Arabidopsis thaliana: one gene and its partners. The protein of the gene in region 2 purifies or fractionates together with the protein of the main gene of each other region. This does not show direct contact. Each region holds a gene or a part of one and is shown on either strand. Other genes may lie near its edges.

The links.
Region 1: the proteins of AT3G11830 (region 2) and PAA2 fractionate together in Arabidopsis thaliana (co-fractionation; one large-scale study listed by BioGRID). This does not show direct contact.
Region 3: the proteins of AT3G11830 (region 2) and AT5G45620 fractionate together in Arabidopsis thaliana (co-fractionation; one large-scale study listed by BioGRID). This does not show direct contact.
Region 4: the proteins of AT3G11830 (region 2) and PAA1 fractionate together in Arabidopsis thaliana (co-fractionation; one large-scale study listed by BioGRID). This does not show direct contact.

The regions. Positions count from the first base shown.
Region 1 is NC_003071.7:2,232,370-2,237,003, reverse strand, and holds PAA2 (20S proteasome subunit PAA2), read right to left. Parts: upstream 2,986-4,634; 5' UTR 2,779-2,985; coding exon 2,703-2,778; intron 2,621-2,702; coding exon 2,526-2,620; intron 2,445-2,525; coding exon 2,363-2,444; intron 2,299-2,362; coding exon 2,202-2,298; intron 2,127-2,201; coding exon 2,068-2,126; intron 1,986-2,067; coding exon 1,903-1,985; intron 1,597-1,902; coding exon 1,501-1,596; coding exon of another isoform or gene 1,471-1,500; exon of another isoform or gene 1,312-1,470; coding exon 1,252-1,311; coding exon of another isoform or gene 1,250-1,251; intron 1,044-1,249; coding exon 951-1,043; 3' UTR 534-950; downstream 1-533. UniProt on the Arabidopsis thaliana protein: The proteasome is a multicatalytic proteinase complex which is characterized by its ability to cleave peptides with Arg, Phe, Tyr, Leu, and Glu adjacent to the leaving group at neutral or slightly basic pH.
Region 2 is NC_003074.8:3,730,862-3,737,020, reverse strand, and holds AT3G11830 (TCP-1/cpn60 chaperonin family protein), read right to left. Parts: upstream 4,365-6,159; 5' UTR 4,288-4,364; coding exon 4,273-4,287; intron 4,177-4,272; coding exon 3,916-4,176; intron 3,719-3,915; coding exon 3,593-3,718; intron 3,503-3,592; coding exon 3,299-3,502; intron 3,218-3,298; coding exon 3,048-3,217; intron 2,959-3,047; coding exon 2,823-2,958; intron 2,451-2,822; coding exon 2,334-2,450; intron 2,227-2,333; coding exon 2,107-2,226; intron 2,028-2,106; coding exon 1,929-2,027; intron 1,854-1,928; coding exon 1,764-1,853; intron 1,506-1,763; coding exon 1,418-1,505; intron 1,329-1,417; coding exon 1,240-1,328; intron 1,105-1,239; coding exon 1,030-1,104; intron 949-1,029; coding exon 865-948; 3' UTR 550-864; downstream 1-549. Other genes in the region: PUB24 (E3 ubiquitin-protein ligase PUB24-like protein), read left to right, coding at 1-443; AT3G11825 (Bifunctional inhibitor/lipid-transfer protein/seed storage 2S albumin superfamily protein), read right to left, coding at 4,957-5,259; SYP121 (syntaxin of plants 121), read left to right, coding at 6,153-6,159. UniProt on the Arabidopsis thaliana protein: Molecular chaperone; assists the folding of proteins upon ATP hydrolysis. Known to play a role, in vitro, in the folding of actin and tubulin.
Region 3 is NC_003076.8:18,499,931-18,504,686, forward strand, and holds AT5G45620 (Proteasome component (PCI) domain protein), read left to right. Parts: upstream 1-1,555; 5' UTR 1,556-1,659; coding exon 1,660-1,809; intron 1,810-2,103; coding exon 2,104-2,550; intron 2,551-2,748; coding exon 2,749-2,829; intron 2,830-3,024; coding exon 3,025-3,221; intron 3,222-3,314; coding exon 3,315-3,414; coding exon of another isoform or gene 3,415-3,492; exon of another isoform or gene 3,493-3,752; coding exon 3,753-3,938; 3' UTR 3,939-4,214; downstream 4,215-4,756. UniProt on the Arabidopsis thaliana protein: Acts as a regulatory subunit of the 26S proteasome which is involved in the ATP-dependent degradation of ubiquitinated proteins.
Region 4 is NC_003076.8:13,764,555-13,769,802, forward strand, and holds PAA1 (proteasome alpha subunit A1), read right to left. Parts: upstream 3,335-5,248; 5' UTR 3,215-3,334; coding exon 3,139-3,214; intron 3,064-3,138; coding exon 2,969-3,063; intron 2,812-2,968; coding exon 2,730-2,811; intron 2,643-2,729; coding exon 2,546-2,642; intron 2,407-2,545; coding exon 2,348-2,406; intron 2,204-2,347; coding exon 2,121-2,203; intron 1,378-2,120; coding exon 1,282-1,377; intron 1,105-1,281; coding exon 1,045-1,104; intron 956-1,044; coding exon 863-955; 3' UTR 522-862; downstream 1-521. UniProt on the Arabidopsis thaliana protein: The proteasome is a multicatalytic proteinase complex which is characterized by its ability to cleave peptides with Arg, Phe, Tyr, Leu, and Glu adjacent to the leaving group at neutral or slightly basic pH.

The DNA of each region.
Region 1 (4,634 bases), on a different chromosome or scaffold from region 2:
ACATTGGAATGGAATTAAACATATACTTCGTTATCTCCAATGTAAGAAAGACATGAGTCTGCTTTTTCCTAACCAATTTAGAAGATTTAATTGGTTTTGCAGATGCAGGATACTTATCTGATCTCCATAAGGTTTTGCAGATGCAGGATATTTATCTGATCTCCATAATGGTAGATCGTAAACAGAATATGTCTTCACATGTATTGCTATTTATTGGCGTTCTATGAAGAAAACTGTTGCAGCCACATCTTCTAATCATTCAGAGATTTTAGCAATTCATGAAACTAGCCGCAAGATTTTTAGCGTGTATGGCTAAGATCCATAGTTACCATATACAAAAAGATTGTGGTATCTATGCAAGGAAAAAAGCTCCAACAATTATGTACAAAGACAATGCAGCATGCATCGCACAACTCAAAAACATATACATCAAAGGCGATAGAACAAAGGACATCTTACCAAAATTCTTCTTCACACGACCTTTTGAGTTTTATGCTCAACTATATCAGTATCGCAATCAAGGGTGGCAGAGAGTCGAGGGTAAGCTATAGCGTAGACTCTTTAACAAGCCTACGAATAAAGGAATTTCACCTCCAAAAAACGTTTCAGTCAAGCTCTGTTCATTGAGTTGGACTCGGACATCAAAATGCAGAGTTCCTTTAGGAGATTATGTTAAAGACCAAGTGTCCAGGTTTTGCAGATTTCCCAATTTTTGTAAATAACTTTCTTTGTTTTGCCTTTTAAAATTCAAAACCTTAAACCATCTCATTCGACCTTAATTTGACACCCTTACATGTAACTCCTATTAGGAGGAAGCAGATGATTCAAATGAAAACTACACGACTCATGACTAATGGAAACACGTTTCTCTGAAACGTGAATCATCTTAGATAGATTTAAAGCAAAAGAAAGAGATGCAAAGTCCCGACTGAATGTTCCAGTGAAAGTGATCAGTCACGTTCACTAATGGCCGTCAAGTGCTCGTCGATCTCCTCTGTTCTCAGGGAACGGAAGAGAGGGTCATCAGCTCTCACAACTCCCACCTGCCAACACAACAGTAGCCAGCATAAATATTTACATGCCTTTTCACAAAGCTTTAACAAAACTACATTTCCATTGGTTTCTCCTTCTTTATTCCTAACCACGATACAACTCTGGCTAACACGATTCGACTCTGGCCAACATATATACAAAATACTACTCTTGCCAACATTTATACAAAAAGGAGTACAGATAGTGGAGAATTGACACCTCAATTTCAGTTGCTTTGAAGTCTTCTTGAAGAACAGATTGGAGAGCGGATATAGCAGTCTACAAAAGTTGATAACTCAAAGTCAGATATAATGGTCTAGGTCTGTCACAGAATTTTGGTGTTTTGTGCGTTCCTACAGTTTCTAAACCTAATATAAAACAATAAAGCTTTTAAAGTGCAAGCAAATGAACATTGCAAATGATCAACCTGCTTCCGATCTAAAATAAAGAAGGATTGTCCATAATTACCTGTACTGTTTCATCATATGTGAAGGCAGGGTTTTCTTTCATTTTCTTCTCCAAGAAATTGACTGCTTCTTGTTCTTTCATACCAGCACTAGTTGCCTGCATCATATGTTTGCTAACTTATAAGTGGAGAAACTTTATATAGAAGCCTCTGATCCTATGGAACATATGTACCACGTATGTGACTACATCATATTTCACAGGTTTACAGTGTGTAGAACTTTTGGTTTCACCTCCATGGTCAACCAGTAACTCTTAAAAGCAGATAAGTTTCTCAGTACAGTATCTGGTTAGGCAAGTGCAATATAATGTTTCTTTCTTCCATGTTAGCAAAGGCAGTAGTCTATACGAATATGCATGTAAGAGGCAGAGGCTTATCTAATCATAACAAGTAGGTGGTATTACCTTGTGACCGTAAAAATGTCCAGCTGGGTCACACTTGTAAAGTAGAGGTCCTCTCTCTTCATCAATACCTAGAACCATGGCAACTTCACAAAGACAAAGAAAACAAGAATCAGGATAAAACCACCACACAAGTAAAATGTATAAATAGGGATTAGGGAAACTTGCCTACTCCAAGGGGTCTCATGTAAGCATGTTGTGTGTAAACCTGAGACTTATCTGCAATCCTGTCACAGCACAATAGTTCAGTATTAGTAACTTTCATAAGTGTAGAGAGACACATAGAGTCTGTAATTAATTACCATTTAGCAAGAATATCTGCAGGCATCTCATAACCATATTGGAACCTAAACTCAGCAGCCTCATTCCTAGCTTGTTGTACCAATGACCTTGAATCAGCTGCAACCCCAGAAAGATCAAAACATGACCATAATGAACAAGCATTGTGATGAGAAATACAAACCTGTCATGCCAGTGGCTAACAATCCAAGGTACTTGGTAACAGGGAAAAGGTGAGATACACTAGACTGATCCAAAAGCTTGTCCTGCCCACAAATCATTCATCAGATCCCTAATTCAAAACCCTCACTTGAACAAAAACCCTAAGGAGTCAAAAGAGGACTCACCGGAACTTTCTTCTGCGTAACGACGCATACTGAATCTTTCCCTCGGACACCGATCGATGTGATTCCAGCTGCTTTCACGGCTTTGAAAGCATACTCTACAAAATCCGTAACCAGTAATATCAATCTCCGAAGTTATAAATTAAAAAAACAAAAAAGATAGAGAAATTGATTACTGACCGACTTGGAAGAGACGACCTTCCGGTGAGAAAATAGTGATGTGACGATCGTAACCAGCGCCGCTTCCTCTGCTCATCTTCTTCTTCTCAGAGAAGAGAACAACTCTCTTCCGAAATCGGAGATGGAATTTTTGCTTCTGTGTGATCTGTAGAGAAAGATGTATTATAGAAGAAAGCTTTCTTTGTCTTCAAGACAGAACCCAAAAAAAAATAGTCAATCTCCCAAAATACCCTTGAAATAATAAGTTAAGATTACAATTATCTTCGAAAAAACTCTAAAATACTCCCTGGGGCTGCAACTTTACATTTCACGTTAAAAGAATGCAGAATAATTATATAAAATTAAAAAAATACACAATATAATTTTTTTTGATATTATTAAACTTTTAAATTTTGATAAATAATATATCAAATCAAAATTCTTGATATGAGTAGTTTAACTATTTATTTTTTAAAAAATTTCAAAAACAAATGTTTTTACGTTTACAATATGTAAAATTGTAAAAATTGACTATATTACGTATTATTTTAAATTTCATATAATTATTTTGTTTTTTTTGGACATAGAGTATAAAGTTGCAAAATTGGACGGAAATTTTTTTTGCACAAAATACTTTAATTAACTAACGCCGCAATGAGAAGACGCCCGATCTTGCAGGATCAAGAACGAACTGAAACGAAACAAGTAAAAGAAGAACATGCAAACGACCTCGCGGCGAAGACAACCATGTTTACATTTGTAGATGAATCTACTAGAGTACTTAAGAAAGCCAAGAGTGAATACAAAGGACATAGGAGGTCTCTATTGTTGACAATGCAGCGTCAAGATGTAATTGACAGGTATATGAAAAGAGATAATATACTTTGTTTAGCCAAACCTTCAGGTGAATAACTAACTCTTGTTTTTGATGGCACTATCAACAAGATAATCCTCCTCATAGTTGGATTTTCTCTCTTTGTCTTTGTTTTTGTGTAGGTTGTATCAAAATGTATATATCGGAATTCTGAAACTCTTAACGAATGGCTACTGCTGACGGTTGTTTCTAGATGTGTCAAATGGTCCGTCCAAAGACCATTGGGCGTGTCCGTACGGACAGTTTTTTTATGGGCCAAGTTGGACGGTTTGGTCCGAAAAATGTCCATGCCCAATAAAGACCATGTCCATATGGCAAGCCCATGGTTAGCCTATTTTATTATTGTTATTATTGATAAATCAAAAATCATAAATTTAAAGAAAAATTGAGAAATTGCATTTTTCCGTAAAAATTGTAGAAATCGAAGACTTGTCTTTTTTCGACAAAATGGTAAAATTGTGTTTTTCTTACCAATACAATAAAATCACGATTTTGACGAAAAAATTATGGAATTGCTTTTTTCGCCAAAACGGTAAAATCGTAAAATTATTTTTTTCACCGATACAAAAAAATAACGATTTAACCGCTAAAACCGTAAAATCGGAGAATTGTGTTTTCTCACTAAAACTGTAAAATTGTGTTTTTCGCCAATATAATAAAATCACGATTTTGGCTGGAAAATTGTGTTTTCCCGCCAAAACCGTAAAATCAGAGAATTGCGTTTTCCCGTCAAAACCGTAAAATTGTGTTCTCGCCAATATAATAAAATCACGATTTTGGTGGAAAATTTGCAGAATTACGTTTTTCCGTCAAAATCGTAAAATCGGAGAATTGTATTTTTCCCGTCAAAACCGTAAAATTTAAAAATTGCGTATTCCAGAAAATTGTGGAATACTATCTTTCCTTTAAAATCGTAAATAATTTAATAAGAAATAATTCATTAAAATTTAAAATTTTCAGAAAAGTAAAAACTTATAAATGTAAAATATATTATTTAAAAATTATTTAGTTGTAATTGTAATTAAAATTATAAAAATACAATTAAATGAAGACATGTCTATTGACTCAATTCATGCCCA
Region 2 (6,159 bases):
ATCTCGGTGCGGTTTCTGAACTCATCGAACTCGAAATAAGCTACACTGGCGAGAAAAGAATCACAGAACTTATGTTAGGAGTTTTATCTCGTTTATGTTGCTGTGCGAACGGTAGAGCCGAGATTCTTGCTCATAGGGGCGGAATCGCGGTTGTGACAAAGCGGCTATTGAGGGTTTCACCTGCGGCAGACGATAGAGCTATCTCTATCCTAACTACAGTGTCAAAATTCTCGCCGGAAAACATGGTGGTGGAAGAGATGGTTAATGTTGGGACGGTAGAGAAGCTCTGTTCCGTTCTAGGAATGGATTGTGGTTTGAACTTGAAGGAGAAAGCAAAAGAGATACTAAAAGATCATTTTGATGAGTGGAAGAAGTTTCCATGTATTGACATAACTCTTCTCACTAAGCTGCTAAGCATCTCACCCAAAGGGCCAAAGATCTAAGTAAATAATCTGCTGCACACACAACGCATACTTAGCATCGAACTTTTTTCATACTCAAACACATAGATATCGAAATATTCAAGTGTATGCATTTTTTTTGATGAGGATCGATCAATCCTCAATCGAGCTATTAGATCAAGATGATGATGCATATAGTTAGAGTTGCATCTACAACACATCTGAAGTTGTTACAGTGATTCATTCTTGTCAAGATTTGATTAAGCAAATATAAACTCCTTAACCAAAACAACACTAAAACTTATGTTTCACAGATTGTATAGACATACATACCCAACCAGTATTCTAATTGAACAAACACAAACCCAATAATAGGTTTTTTAACTTCAAAACAAAAATTCAACAAAATCGAAATTAGAGAAGAAGAAGAAGAATCCCACAAGTTTGGCATTAGAGACGGAGCTTATCGCCTTCGCATTCCACGGCCACGACCTCCACCGCGTCCTCTCCCCATTGCACCTGCGGCGTCTCCCTGTGCGCTCTCAGACTGCAATAGACAACAATTATCAATACAATACATATACATTGTCAAAACATACAAAAGAAAATGAGAGCATGTGTTATTTACTTTAGGGTTCTTCACGGTTTCGTCGACACTAAGAATGAGGCAAGCCGCTTCAGTCGCAGCATTTATTGCGTTGATCTACCAGAACAAAGGGAATCATACTATCAATAAACTTTTCAATGAAAGATATCCACACAAGATAGACATATTCATAACTGGCACAATAGTCCCAAGAACGAAAAAAGAGTGGAATTTTATAGAATCTTGAAATACCTTCACAACTGCTGGTTCCCAAACGAAGTTAGCAAAAGAATCTGCTATGCCACCAGTGTTAATGTCCACTCCATACGAAGCTCCTTCACCTGTTATAACAAAGATATCATGAATGAGATTAAGCAGCTCTCATCAAAAGATGAATACATCAAGCTTGTGACTGTGAGAGAAGGCTCACCGCTTTGCATGGCGTGTTTTTGTCTAAGTTTATTCAAGACGTCAGTTGCATCAAATCCAGCATTATCACATAACTGTCGTGGAATAACCTGTAGTACCACCATAAACAGTGTGAATTCAGATTTTTGTGTATCAAAGGTGAACCAACAATTTTCAGATCCTGGCCAAAGATATTGAGACCCTCCTTGGTTGTTTACTAACTCCTATTGTACACAACAACAAGCGAACAGGAAATATGTCTTTTCTATAGGTGCCGAATAACACAGAACACAATTAGAAAGCTTTTATTTATATGTGAAATTAAGAGGTACAAAAGTTAAAACAGCCAAGCCAACCAGGAAGTGTACCTCTAGAGCCTTCGCATAAGAGTTGATGAAAAGCTGTGACTTCCCAGCAATTGTTCTTGAATGCTGCCTCAGGTACTTGCTTATCTCCATCTACAACCAGGAGGAATGGTTCAACCCTACATGCAAAATTTAAATACTGAACCACAGTGAATGGAGGATACTCACATCTATAGCTCCACCTCCAGGAACAACAGTTGAGTTCTTCACAGCTCTTCTCACAATCATAATCGCATCATGTAAACTCCGCTCAGCTTCTTCGATGAACTGCCATTAACGTTTCAAAGGAATTAATATTTATGTTGATTGGTTTACATTCATGAAGCCTCCAATATTTGATGCATACCTGATCAGCTCCACCACGGAGAACAATAGTTGCTGTTCGTCCTGAAGGGCAACCACTGAATATATTAAATCTCTCCCCACCAACTTGTTTTTCCTCAAAAATCTCACAAGTTCCAAGAACCTGCAGAAATTAAAATCAATCTCTGAATCAGATGAATGAAATCAACAAGTCACCTAAAGCTAATAAGCATATCCAATAGCAAACAAAGAAATTCCTTTTTCGCGAACCTCATCTATTATGTTGTTAACACTTGTCTGAACTGTTCCTCCAGCTGCAGCAGCCACACGGTTAAGATCTTCCTCAGCAACACGACCAGCACAGAAAATATCACGATCGGCAAAATACTGCAAGAAAATGCCAAGTAAAACACAGTCAAGCACTCTTGATTGATATTGAAAATGAAACACCAAGCTGCAAGGTACTGTAGCGAACAATATTGATTGACAAGAGCAAAGAACTTATTCATATGTTTCAGAGGAAATAAAACATCTTAAAACTTACTACAACACGAACTTATAATTGAAACTTTAAAGTGTTGCTCATGCATAATAGTCTTATACTGAGAATTGCAAGACCATAACCTACCAATGTAATCATGCCTCTAAGATGTCAAATGATTTCACAAGAAATACAGATAGACGTCAATTTTCAGCCTGAATAAGCAGGAAAAACATCATCCAGCAGATGAGCAAAACAAAGAAAAGGTATCAACAAACCTGAGTAGCTAGATCACCAATAGCCAATCGAGAAAGAACAACTTTTGCTCCACTCTCAACACATTTGTCTAGTTTGTCATAAATGATATTCCATTCTGCATCAACTATTGACTGGTACTGTGATGGATCTGACAGCCTGTGAACAATGGGTGGAGCCAAGTCAAATAAGGCCAAAAGATGTTTAATTGAAGGGAAAAAATAAACATAAAAATCCAGAATGCTGACCTAATTTCAGCGTTTTCCTTCTCAGATTTCAACTCCAATTCGATGTTAAGCAAGAGAATTTTGGGGTTAAGAAATTTCTTTGGCTGTTGCTCAAAACCAGCATACGAGAATGTTTTTTTGAAAGCTACACCATCAACGAGGAAAGAGTCTCGCATATTGCCACCAGGAACCTGCAGAGCAAACCTTGACATTAGCTTAGATGCATCATTAACTTGGCTTCACAGTATAGACACAAATAGAAATGTGTTTACCTTCTTGATCCCAATCAGATTTAGCCTGTCGTCATTCCCAATGGCCATAACAGCATCAACAACCATTGTAGCAAAAAACTCCTTTTCTCCACCGATAAGCTTAGATGAGAGAGTCGTAGCAGCACATTTAGCCAATAAACCTTTCTTTTCCTCTACACTCTTCCCCTCAATGCTAACAGCGAGTTCTTTAACCTTGGCAATTGCCTACATCAATAATTAATAGTGAGTAAGGCAACAAAAGAACCAATAAATCAAAAAGACTTGTAATTATACTAACGAGAAAAAATTACAAACCAAAGTGCTTGCAGTGCGGTAACTCCTAATTAGATTCTGAGCGTGAACACCATCCTCAATAAATGGCTTCGCTTCCTTCAAAAACTCTGCTGCAAGAAGAACCACTGTAGTTGTCCCATCACCCACCTAACCAAACAACAACAACAACAGAAGATTCAGTGTTCATGAACTCAGTCACTCATTCTAAGATCTGAATACTAGATCGCACTTAATATAAACACTAGAGATCTAATATGGAATCGCTAATTAGCTCAAGATCAGTCCAATTACGATTTTTTCGAAAACTCAGATTGGGAATTAAAAAATTGAAATAAAACAAAGACCTCGGAGTCTTGGGATTTGGCGATATCGACGAGGATCTTAGCAGCAGGATGAACAATGTCGAGGAGCTTCATGATGGTAGCACCATCGTTAGAAATGGTGACGGATCCTTTATCGTCGTGAATGAGTTTGTCCATCCCTCGTGGCCCGAGCGTGGTTCGAACTACATCTCCAACAGCAGTGCAAGCGTTGATGTTGCTTACTAGTTGCGCTTTGCCCTGAGATGTGTCCGTCCCTTCCTTCAGCAGTATGATCTGCGGTTGCTGCTCATCAAACCAAAACCAAAGTAGTGGCACGTTAGTCAGTTTATAGCACAGAGAGTGAGATAGAGAGAGAAAGTGTGTGTAGATGCGACTTACCATCATCGATGCCATTGTAGATGCGTGACGAAGAGCTTCAGAGATGTGAAGAAAGTGAGAGAAATGGAGCAGAGAGAGAGAGAGAGGGGGGGAGTTAGGGTTTAGGTCTTCTGTTGTTCATATAGGAGCAACTAGATCGACCGATGTTCTTAGAACCGGACCGGCCGGTTGAACCGATAATTTCACTTAAAACGCAGCGTTTTATGGTCTGGACCCCACTTAGAAAGTCATAATTAAATTATTTAAAAGTTTCTCCATGCTTTTTTAATGGAGTTAAATTATGCAGACACAAAATTATGTAAAAATTGGCTTTCGACGCATATATTTGTTGATTTTTCACTTTTGCTCTGTTAATTTAGAATTTGGTAAACTCTAATGTGGAAAGGATGGCAATGGAGGTGGCTCTTTTGGGAGGAACTCAAAAGGATTATACTTTTTGAAGCAATACTTGTTGTTTGTAACTAAGCTACATGATAAATCAAAGTTTAATTAGTCATTAGTCTCTCTAGACAATTGTTCTTATATATTATGTGTTCTAACTTCTATCAAAACTATAAGGACAATTGACAAGTTATTAAACATAACGACTACAAAGTACAAACCATTAAACTACATAGTACAAATCTGATCAAAAATATGTTTGCTTTATTGTTGTTAATTATTTACTTTTATGTATCTATATATTTAACACTTGAACTCAGAGAATGCATCCTTTGGAAGACCACCACGACCACACGCATTGTTAACGTTGCGAGCAGCTATCTTTAGCTTGGGGGACTTGAGAAACAAACACATACATTTTTTTTTCATTATCATATTATAACAACAACGCTCATAAATGTAACCGTGAGTAAAGAATTCAGTTTTGTCTATGCACCATTGCATGTCCTTTTCACAATTACCCACACCACCGGCTACTTTGATGGGAGCCGGAAATGACGTCATGAATATGACCAAGGCAATGGACATCAATGGGATGATCTTCATGTCTGATTTATTAACCTACCAGCTGATGACAAAATATCTCAAATCAGGAACAATTAGTTTTGCAAAAATGTTGTATATTTTTTGTTTGTTTGAGATCTTTAAATAGGAAACTTGGAATCAACGATTTATACAACATATGGGTATCCTATAGATTAGGGAGGAAAGTGATTCTATTTTTATATGGTTGTTCATATTGAACATTTGACTTGTTCTTTATGTATATCGGTGTATGGTTGTTAGGATGTTGTATATCTTACAAATCGAACAATCGAAGTATTACAATTGCTTTCCGGTGCTCAAAGACTGGGCTATGGGTTTAGGCTTGGCCCTTTAACGGAGAAAAGCAAGGATTTGGTGGGCTTCTTTAAATTTGGTTCGATGGACGATTCTAAATTATGTAAATTAATTTGATATACAGTAACATTTTTGTTTTTTTAAATGTTTTCTGCTGAAGTCAATTTATCAATAAGTGTTTCGTATGGGCTAATGTATCCTTTGGATGATAAACTTAAAGTATCCAAAGCCGACAAAATAAAATTTTAAAAATCATTCAAATTACGAATGTTTTTTTCTTTCTCCAATTTATATATGATTTTGGGATCTGTTACCGTATATACTTACACGTACGGGACAAGGGCACACGGTTTCGCTTTCAACTTCACCTTCCCTTCTCCGCCATTGTTACTTTCTCAGAAGCTTCCAAGTCAACCAATAGAGACTTACTTGTTTGACTTCTTCCTCTCTTACCTCATAATCCTCCTTTTGGACTTTTCAATAAAACCGCCTACTTGAATCTGTACGACTTCTTCTCATTTTTCCATTCTTTAAGTCTTCCCGTTGATTCATTCCGATCTGAAATCTCTCTCTAGATTTCTCTATTTTTCGAATTTTAAATGAACG
Region 3 (4,756 bases), on a different chromosome or scaffold from region 2:
TTAAACAAGACTGTAAACTATATAACAATATCAGATATTCAAATTTTTCATTTAACATGCTTTCAAAATAAATTTTAAATAGCAAACATAACCGTTGTTGTTATCACCGGTCATCAAGTTGTTGTTATCACCGGTTATCAAAATGTTATCTAATTAATTCCAAAACATAACCTAATAGATTAAATTGTCATTGATCAAAACATAACATAAAAGAAAAATGAGCAAATAAACATCTTAACATGAAAACATAAGGTAACAACAATATACAAACTATTTATGATATCTATATTTACGGATCCATCGTAAATAATCATCTTTCGCTTTAAAGTTTTTGATGGAGCAGTCGGTAAAACTTAGGATCCAAAAAACTTTTTGTACTATTACTATTATTTATGGTTAAAATTCTCTTTTTCTTATTAACTTGATTTCTTTATGTGTTTTATATTATTTTTATAAATAATTGAAAATCATTTTTAAAATTTGCAATATTTTATTAATATTGTAAAATACCGTCATAATAAAAATTATTATGGTAAACCATAAATAAGATTATTTAGTAATCAAATGACATTGATCTAATATTTATATTTTTCTTTTCTGAAAAAAACTTTCTGGTTCGTTTCTGTTCCGGTTTTCAAAACTCTGTCCGGTCATGTGGAATGCTAAATTACAAATCCACCTTATTATAATTTAAATTACATAAATACCCCTTAAAACTCACATATTTATACTTTGGTCCCGGTAGTTCTCTTTTCTTTTTAAATTAAAGGATTATCTGCTTAGCAAAAAAGAAGAAGAGAAAAGGCAATGTTTTGAAACCCGACCCGGACGATGAACCGGACTACCTTCTGGGTCACCGGGTCACCGGGTCAACCGGGTTGGACCACGGGTTAATTAGTTAAAATTTATTTAATAAATTTAATATTAATAGAAAATTTAGAGTATTTTATAATAAAAAAATTTGTAGTATTTATAAATATAAAACAAAAATAATCATATCATATTTAATCAAATATAAAATTATATTATATTTAACAAAATATAAAATCATTTACACCCAAATATATATATATATATATAGAAAAAATCAAACAATAATAATAAAGTGGTTAAAAATTTGAAATCCAATAAATGTCTAACACCGTAACAAATATATTAGGAGATCATCAATGACATAAATAAATTAATAAAACATCGTGAATTAAAACAACTAATCTCGGTTGTCTCTCTCACCATTCGATTCAATTTTAAGGCGGTATTGTAAAGTCTTCAACAAAATCTAAAACATCAAATGAATTTAAGAACTGAAAAAACTTCTAAAAATAATTGAATAAAGTCTAAAATCCCATATTTTATTGTAAAATCAAGAGAACTTTTTAAAACCCACACCCGGCCGGTTCAACCGGTTCACCGGGTCACGGGTTAATTGCGAGTTTTTGTGGGTTTTTTCGGTTTTGAACTTGTTGGGTTTTAGCACTAAACCCAAACCGGAAAAGTGTTCGGGTTACGGGTTAACCGGTCGGACCGGACGGTTCGGGTCGGGCGTGAAAACACTGAGAAAAGGGTTTTTTAGGATTCTTTAAACGCAGAGCTGAGCTGAGTTACATAAGATCGAGAGAATTCGCAAACTCGTTTCTTCATTCGTCTTCGTCTTTCGCCATGGCTGCTCTACAATACTTGGAATCTCTGAAAAATACGCATCCAGAGCTCGGCGAATGGTACAATTCCCTTGCAGATCTGTATCAGAAAAAGCTCTGGCATCAACTCACCCTTAAGCTCGAACAGTTCATCGCTCTCGCTGTCTTTCAGGTACTTTTGCTTCTCCTCCGTAATACTAATTGGTTTCAATATCTATCTAGGTTTAGTAGTGGTCCTTGTGGATTTTAGGGTTCATAGATCTCGACAAATATCGTAGAATCTGTGTTTTTACTTCCGAATAACACGAGTTAGAGATCCGTTTGGAAGATGATAGGGTTTTCTCGGATTAAGTTCTTCGAAGAAAGTTAGGTTTTAGGGTTTATAGATCAATTTTGATTGCTTCCAAGTTTTTGTGTCTGATCTTAACCTGTGTCATTGTTATAATATAATTTTTTTTCATTTCAGGCTGGTGATGCTTTGATTCAGTTCTATCACAATTTCATCACTGACTTTGAGACGAAGATCAATCTTCTGAAGCTTGCGCATTTTGCTGTGGTGGTCTCTCGACAGTACTCTGAGAAAGAAGCTGCAGTTAGCTATCTTGAAAGCGTGATTGAGAAACTTAGAGCTACTAAAGAGCCTAGGATTACTGAACCAATCATTTATATTGAAACACAAAAAGCTTTATTCAAGCTTGAGCAAGGTGATCAGAAGGAGTGCAAAAAAATCTTGGACGATGGAAAGAGCTCTCTTGATAGTATGACTGACATTGATCCATCAGTCTATGCCAACTTCTATTGGGTGTCTTCTCAGTACCATAAGTGCCGTCAAGAATTTTCTGATTTCTACAAAAGTGCTCTGCTTTATCTTGCATACACGTCTGTGGAGGACCTTTCAGAATCGTTTAAGCTGGTATGCCCCTGTAATATTATGTACCTTGTTCTTATATTTTGTTCTTATGTTAAGTTTCCTGTTAGCGATAGTGGATAAGAGTATTCAGAAATTTGATGAAATTTAGAGGAAACTGAAGAAAAAAGTTGCGTACTAGTTAGCTTCCCTAGAGTCACCGATCAAATTTTGCTAATGTCAGATCATATCTGTGTCTTTCAGGATTTGGCTTTCGATTTGTCACTATCAGCTCTACTTGGGGAGAACATCTATAACTTTGGGGAACTGTTAGCCCATCCCATTGTAAGTTTTCCTTCATCCTCGACATAAACTACTGTTATATTTTCTTGTGTAGATAAAAGGCTTCTTGTTGATCTTTAATTGCTTGGATTTACGATAGATACTGTTTGTGAGTTGAGACGGCTTCTAACTCTCATGTTATAGTTTTGCTTAGAATTGTAGATGGTTCTCTTACATGTAGCATTTCTCTGATGACAGTTGAAAAGTCTCCTTGGAACAAATGTGGAATGGCTCTACCACATTCTACAGGCATTCAACCATGGTGATTTAGTTCAGTATCAAGAACTATGCCGTGTGCACAACGCATCCTTGATTGCTCAACCAGCACTTGTTGAGAACGAGAAGAAGCTTTTGGAAAAGATCAACATTCTCTGCCTTATCGAGATCATCTTCAGGTAAACTTTTCTCTAGGCAATTGTACCTCACGCCGTTTCAATCAAAGAAATAAAATCATGTGCTAATACATTTGATTTTAAACTCTACATCAGCCGACCCGCTGAAGATAGAACCATTCCTTTGAGCATCATCGCTGAGCGTACTAAACTTTCCATTGAAGATGTTGAGCACCTTCTCATGAAGAGCCTTTCTGTAAGTATTAGTATCTCCTTGCATTTTTCTCTCTTGTGTTCTTTTAGTACCCAAAAAACTCTGCAGCTTCCGGGTTAAAATCTGTTGTGGTGACCAAGGAAAGAGTTTGTCTGAGTGACCAACATAATGATACTGAACTACCTGTCATCTGATTAAGAACAACATAGTAAACATCACCATACGCATTGTATCTCTAGGTTTATGTATTTGCAGTTGTCGTCTTATTGCGTAATTTTGTTATAGAACTCAAATGATCTTGACTGGTTTTGTTCCTGACTTAGACATAGAATGATTGTGTATGCTTCTGTAGAATCTAAAGTGGAAAATGAATGATACAGGTGCATTTGATCGAGGGCATCATAGACCAAGTGAACGGAACAATTTATGTCTCATGGGCGCAACCGAGAGTACTAGGGATTCCACAGATCAAGGCTTTGAGGGATCAATTAGACAGTTGGGTTGACAAAGTTCACACCACTTTACTATCTGTTGAAGCCGAGACACCAGATCTTGTTGCAGCATAAGAGAAAAGAAAACCTTCTTCCTCCTTTTGAAGCTACTGAATGTAAAACACCATCTTCTCTGGGATTAGATTCAAGTTTTTTATTTCAGTCGTAGAAGAAATTACAATTGCTTTTTAATCTTTTGACTTCCATTTCAAGATGTCCGAAATTTCAGTTCTACATTTAGACTATTTTCATACATTTTTTCTTAAAACATGTCCTTGACAATCATTCATTATTCACATAACCATAACAAGTCAATCAGTTTATAGAAAAAGTCATCTGATAGGATCTAAACGTGGACTCACTCACTCTGAATAGTTGATTTGAGCCTAAAATTTGGGGATTCTCGCGGCTTCTGGCACTGGTCTCCGATTACGTCACTTCCCGATGATTTCATCTTGGACTCATAGCGCGTATACCAAGATTCAATTCCCAACAATCTCACTCCTTTCAAGGCGTTTCCGATCATTGTTACGTTGCACAGAACATTGTCTCTATGCACTCCTCATAACCCTGAAACACGTCACTACCGTTGGTATATTCTTTCTCCGACGCAATGGCTTTATCCTTATCGCTTCTCTTCCTCCTATGCCTGCTCATGGAAGCTATATTGCTTTAGGTTCAAAAGATTTACGTTTTTAGATGGCGTTTATGATTCCGGTGTGACTTCGAGAGTGTTAACCACTGTGGAGATGTGAATTCTAAGAAGTGAGAGTATATATGCGTGTGTCGTTGATGATGTATTGTACTACTAAATTTGTGCTCTAAACCATAACAGCTAGACATAATTCTAAATTTCATGTTATGGTAGGAAGATTGTTGATTTCATTGATCTA
Region 4 (5,248 bases), on a different chromosome or scaffold from region 2:
TCGGTTTCGGTTCGGATGGTGTTAGATTCGGAACGGTTTCGGATCAGTTTTTGATTTAAAAAAAAAACAAATTAAAAAATTGTACAATTTTAATAAAAATCGTTTAATTTTACTAAAATTTGGTTTAATTTTGCAAAACATTGTATAATTTTAACAAATAAAAGTAAAAAAATCGGACAGTAAAGTTATTTCGGATATTTTTGCTATTTAGTATTTTTTGGATATAAATTATAACTAATATTTTTAGATATATAATTTTATTTAGGATTAGCGGATATCCGTTCAATTTTTGGTTCGGATCGGATTTGTTTCGGATAATTCAGATAGGAATATCCATTATGTATTCGGATTTTGTGACTATTCGGTTCGGTTTGGTTTCGGAGCCGGATTTTTGATCAATTTTTGGATTTTATGCCCAGCCCTAAGCATTATGCCGATGTAAAAAAAATTTGACTGATCCTAAAATTTTTGACTGATCCTAAAAAATTGGAATCCATAACCTAAACCTTTTTTGTTGAAAGGTAAGAATGATCCCTCACTTTCTAACAACTGAAACCTTAAAACGAATTCGAGTTTAAGAACTGGTGAAGACGAAGACACAGCAACTGCAACGATAGAAATAAAAAGCTAGAAAGTGATGATATGAGTAAAGTTGGTGTCATTTCTGAAGAGTCAAAAGACTCGGAAACTCTCACAGCCTTAAGCATTACAGTGCATTTTTGTTTTTCAAGTTTGCTGGGTTGACTAAGTAAATTAAATTATGGAAGGAAGACCAAACAAAAGATCGATGGAGAGTGGTCACTTTAGAGGAATGTCTGATAGAAGCGAAGCAACGTAACTCACACTTGTTTCACTAAGTTGATCAGTCTCGTTCACTAATGGCTGTCAAATGCTCCTCAATCTCCTCCGTTGTCAATGCACGGAATTCCGGGTTCTCTGCTCTCACCACACCTACCTATCATTTCACCAAACGGTTTGATAAGATATATAACCCACAAATGATACAATAAACTTGCCATCATATACGAGAAGAGTTTTGTATACCTCAATCTCAGTAGCCTTGAAGTCTTCTTGAAGAACAGATTGCAAAGCCGATATGGCAGTCTACAAACGTATAAAAATATCAACGTGAGGAACAATGTGCATTTGGTACTTCATCAAGAATATTAATAGATTTGTATCTACAAAGTAACAGCACAAGTAATCAGCAGCTAAATGAACATATGTTACCGTATTCGAACATAAGCAGGGAAAATATGAAAGATAATGCAAATAATTTACCTGCACGGTTTCATCAAATGTGAAAGATGGGTTTTCTTTCATTTTCTTCTCCAAGAAATTGACTGCTTCTTGTTCCTTCATACCAGCACTAGTTGCCTGCACGAATACAGTTGCTTGTCTATTAGCTGCTTTTCAATTAACATGAAATATCTACGACTTTTGAGAGAGAGAATAATTTTTTTGTATATCCTATCCTCTAGAGATCTTGGTCATATAGTCCAGAAGACTCATGTGTAACCTGTATGTAGTCATGTCATTGAATAGATACACAAAACGTGTTTTGTTTCAACCTAGGATCAATCAGTTACTAAAAGTAGAAATGAGCACGATGCTTAAAAACCTTTATACATAAGATTCCTAAAAAGTGTTAAGATCAGCGAAATGAGAAAGACAGGATTGAAAAAGTTTCCTTTATTCTTCTCTGTAAATCTACAAATGAAAACAAGTAAACTAATGAACCCAGGAGCAACCGGATACAAAGAACTAAAGTGAGAGTTATGCTATCTTATAGAGTACCCAAACCTATCCCAAAGTCTGAAAGGCTTACCACAAACAACCCAAATGACCAAAACTCTCCGCAATTATGACTAACTCACTCCTATAGTCATATTATACTTTTTTCGTTTATGCTTATCACAATGACTTATAGACTGAGGCATTTTCTTCTATGTTAGTGACAAGCAGTAAATAGTGTGTAGTGTATGTCAATATGCTTGTAAGACGATATTATTCAGATATGTTATCAATAAATCTTGATGCAGGCCAGCAAAAGCAATCAAAACAGTAAGTATTAGAAGACAAGTTTAGTTAAAGTATAAGCTACGAGTGATAGATAATACCTTGTGACCGTAAAAATGTCCAGCTGGGTCACATTTGTAAAGTAAGGGACCATTCTCTTCATCAACACCCATTACCATAGCGACTTCATAAAGAGAGACAACAAGAAAATTCCTTTTGTCAGCCAATAATATTCATCAAAACGTGAAGGTGATATAATACGCATCAAACACAAGTAGGCACTAATGTCTAGATTGGTCTTAAGAAAAGAAAAAGATAGCAAACTTGCCAACTCCAAGGGGTCTCATGTAAGCATGTTGAGTGTAGACCTGTGACTTGTCCGCTATCCTGTAAGTAAAATAGTTATTTATCAGCAACACCATTTATCACAGAAGAGCTAGATAGATCAATAACTATAAGCCAGCCTCCACTAAGAAGTTAAAGAACCATCTGAAAAAAGAGACACCAAGTCGATTAGCAACGATACCATTTAGCAAGAATGTCAACAGGCATCTCATATCCATAAGTGAACCGAAATTCAGCTGCTTGATTCCTTGCTTGTTGAACCAAAGACCTTGCATCAGCTGAAAACGAAATTCACATGTTCAAATTACCATCCATAGCAATAAATTCTACAGCTTAAGAGGAGATAAAAGGGTCATGAAACGAACCTGTAATGCCAGTAGCTACCAATCCAATGTACTTGGTGATAGGGAACAGATGTGTAACACTAGACTGATCCAAAAGCTTGTCCTGTCCCAACCCAAAAACAAAAACCCTAATGGGTAAGATACACCAACAATCCTCAATCTACTAGAAACCTAAATCCATACAATGGTTCAATAAAAGACGCAACTTTTTTGCAAACCCTAAAAAAAACGAGAGACAATGAAAAGAGAGATTCACTCACAGGAACTTTCTTCTGGGTAACGACGCAAACCGAATCTTTCCCACGAACTCCGATTGAAGTAATACCAGCTGTTTTCACGGCCTTGAAGGCATATTCTACAAAAGCAAAAGTGTGTATTCAGTTTTCAGAGCTCGAAAAGGAATTGAGAGTGGGAATCGGAGAGTACTGACCAACTTGAAAGAGACGACCTTCCGGTGAGAAGATAGTGATGTGACGATCATAACCAGCGCCGCTTCCTCTACTCATCTTCTTCGATCTTCTGAATTCGGTGGAGTTGAATCAGAGATGTGTATATAACAATAAGGAATGGAATTGAATCAAGCTTTATGTCCAAGACAGAAGAAAAAAAGAGTCGAGGTGGTGTTTTTACTATTTTGCCCTTTGATGACCACTTTATTTACTCTTCTGCCACTTTAAGATATGCGATTTAAGATGCAATCAATCATATAGGAAGAAAAATATGTATTTAACTAAAATTAAAATGGAAAATATTAAAAAGATACTTTAAAATTGTTATAAGTTTACTTTCTTATTACAAAGATTAATAAAATTTCTAATTTCTAACGAATTTTATTTTTAATCACAAATTTTTATGAAAATAAAGATATAAACTATTTAGGTATCGATGAAAGTTTGTGAAAACATTGTAATACAGTTTAGAGAAACTTTTGAAGAAAATTTTAGTGATATATTATCGACACATTGTCTTGAGATCGGATTAGCCACATAGTAAGTTAGTAATTTGTTGCAAGAACTGATCAAAATCAATCCAACATGAGTGTAAGCCACGACGAGTGTAACGTATGGGAATTGAGTATTGAATTTGTGGGTTATGAAAGAAGAAATGTAAGAACCTAGAGATCGTGAAAGACCCCAAGTCTCGCTTTCGTAGTGAGCCACGACTTCTTCAGGTAGGACTCTACAGAGGATTGACCATGAAGAATGAGAGTTTTGATGGTGGGTGTTGAAAAGTTTGCGGAAAAAGGGAGATTCTATGAGCGATTTCATTGCTTGCAAACTAGTTTTGAAGTGGTGATGATTGTTAGTGGTAATCTCGCAAGTATAATTGCCCATAGATCATCTGTTAAGAAAATCATCTCCTTCTTCTTCTTCTTCTCTTCTTTGTCTCCATCCCAACTCTGTTCTGTCTACGTTCTCGTTTACTATATATAAATAAGGAAAAAATACACACGGGATAAAACTAAGCAAAATATATCCAACCGAAAATAAATAAATTATATCCAACTTTTAGCCTTTAGGCCATAAATATGTTTTCAGATTTTTAATGATTTTTGATTTTTGAACAATATTTGCAAAACAAAATTATAAAAACTCATGAAACTAATTCCCCTAGAATTTCTAAAACCTAATCAGCTTAAAAAGAAACGTTTAAAAAGTATATTTAAATCTTGATCGGCTAATTTACATTATAAGAATACTCAACTATATGATCAATACATCAACTAGAAAATCAAAATGATTAATTCCTATTTTTTTTCTTATTCCTATTTGAAAGAGGTTTATTTTTCTGATTTTATCCATATATTTTTCCAAAGTATTTAAGAACTGATTATCCTATTATGATTTGAATTAAAGCTACTTTTATTGGGGAAACTGGAAATCAATCATTGATGGTTGAGATGATCGCCCAAGAATATGGAAATCATGAAGATTGCAGAAGGATCTAAAATATTATCATATCTTAGTTTTAGTAATATTTACATTTATCAAATATATATGATTTACATTTAGGTTTTATCTTTGATTAGGAAATCTCATCTCTATATAAGAGAATGTATATTGTATCATTATTCTGTTCTTTACTCTCATCAAATATATAACCTTTTGATTCAAGAAAGGAATGATGAACAAAAGCCATGAATATTGTTTTTTTTTGAAAATAATTAAATTTTACTTAGATAACTTTACTTCATTGTGATCTGGGATTTTAATTCAAGAAAGTGTATGCATCTCTGTTGGCTATCATGATGTTCTTGGCTGAGCTTTAAATTATGAGCGTACGAGCCAAGTTCAAATCAGAATTTTAGGCATTAAGAAGCTCATTTTTCGGTAATAATTAGCATATATTATGTGATGAGTTTATGGTCTTGGGATATGCAATATCAGGACTCTTGTTGTTGAGTCATATACTTTGCTGGTTCGTGATTATTTTATTGACTAAGGGACTAAAGAATCTGATTTCTTATCACAATGAAAAATTCCATGTGTGTAATTGTTGATTTTTCCTAGTTGAACAGGCTGCATATAGATATAGATATC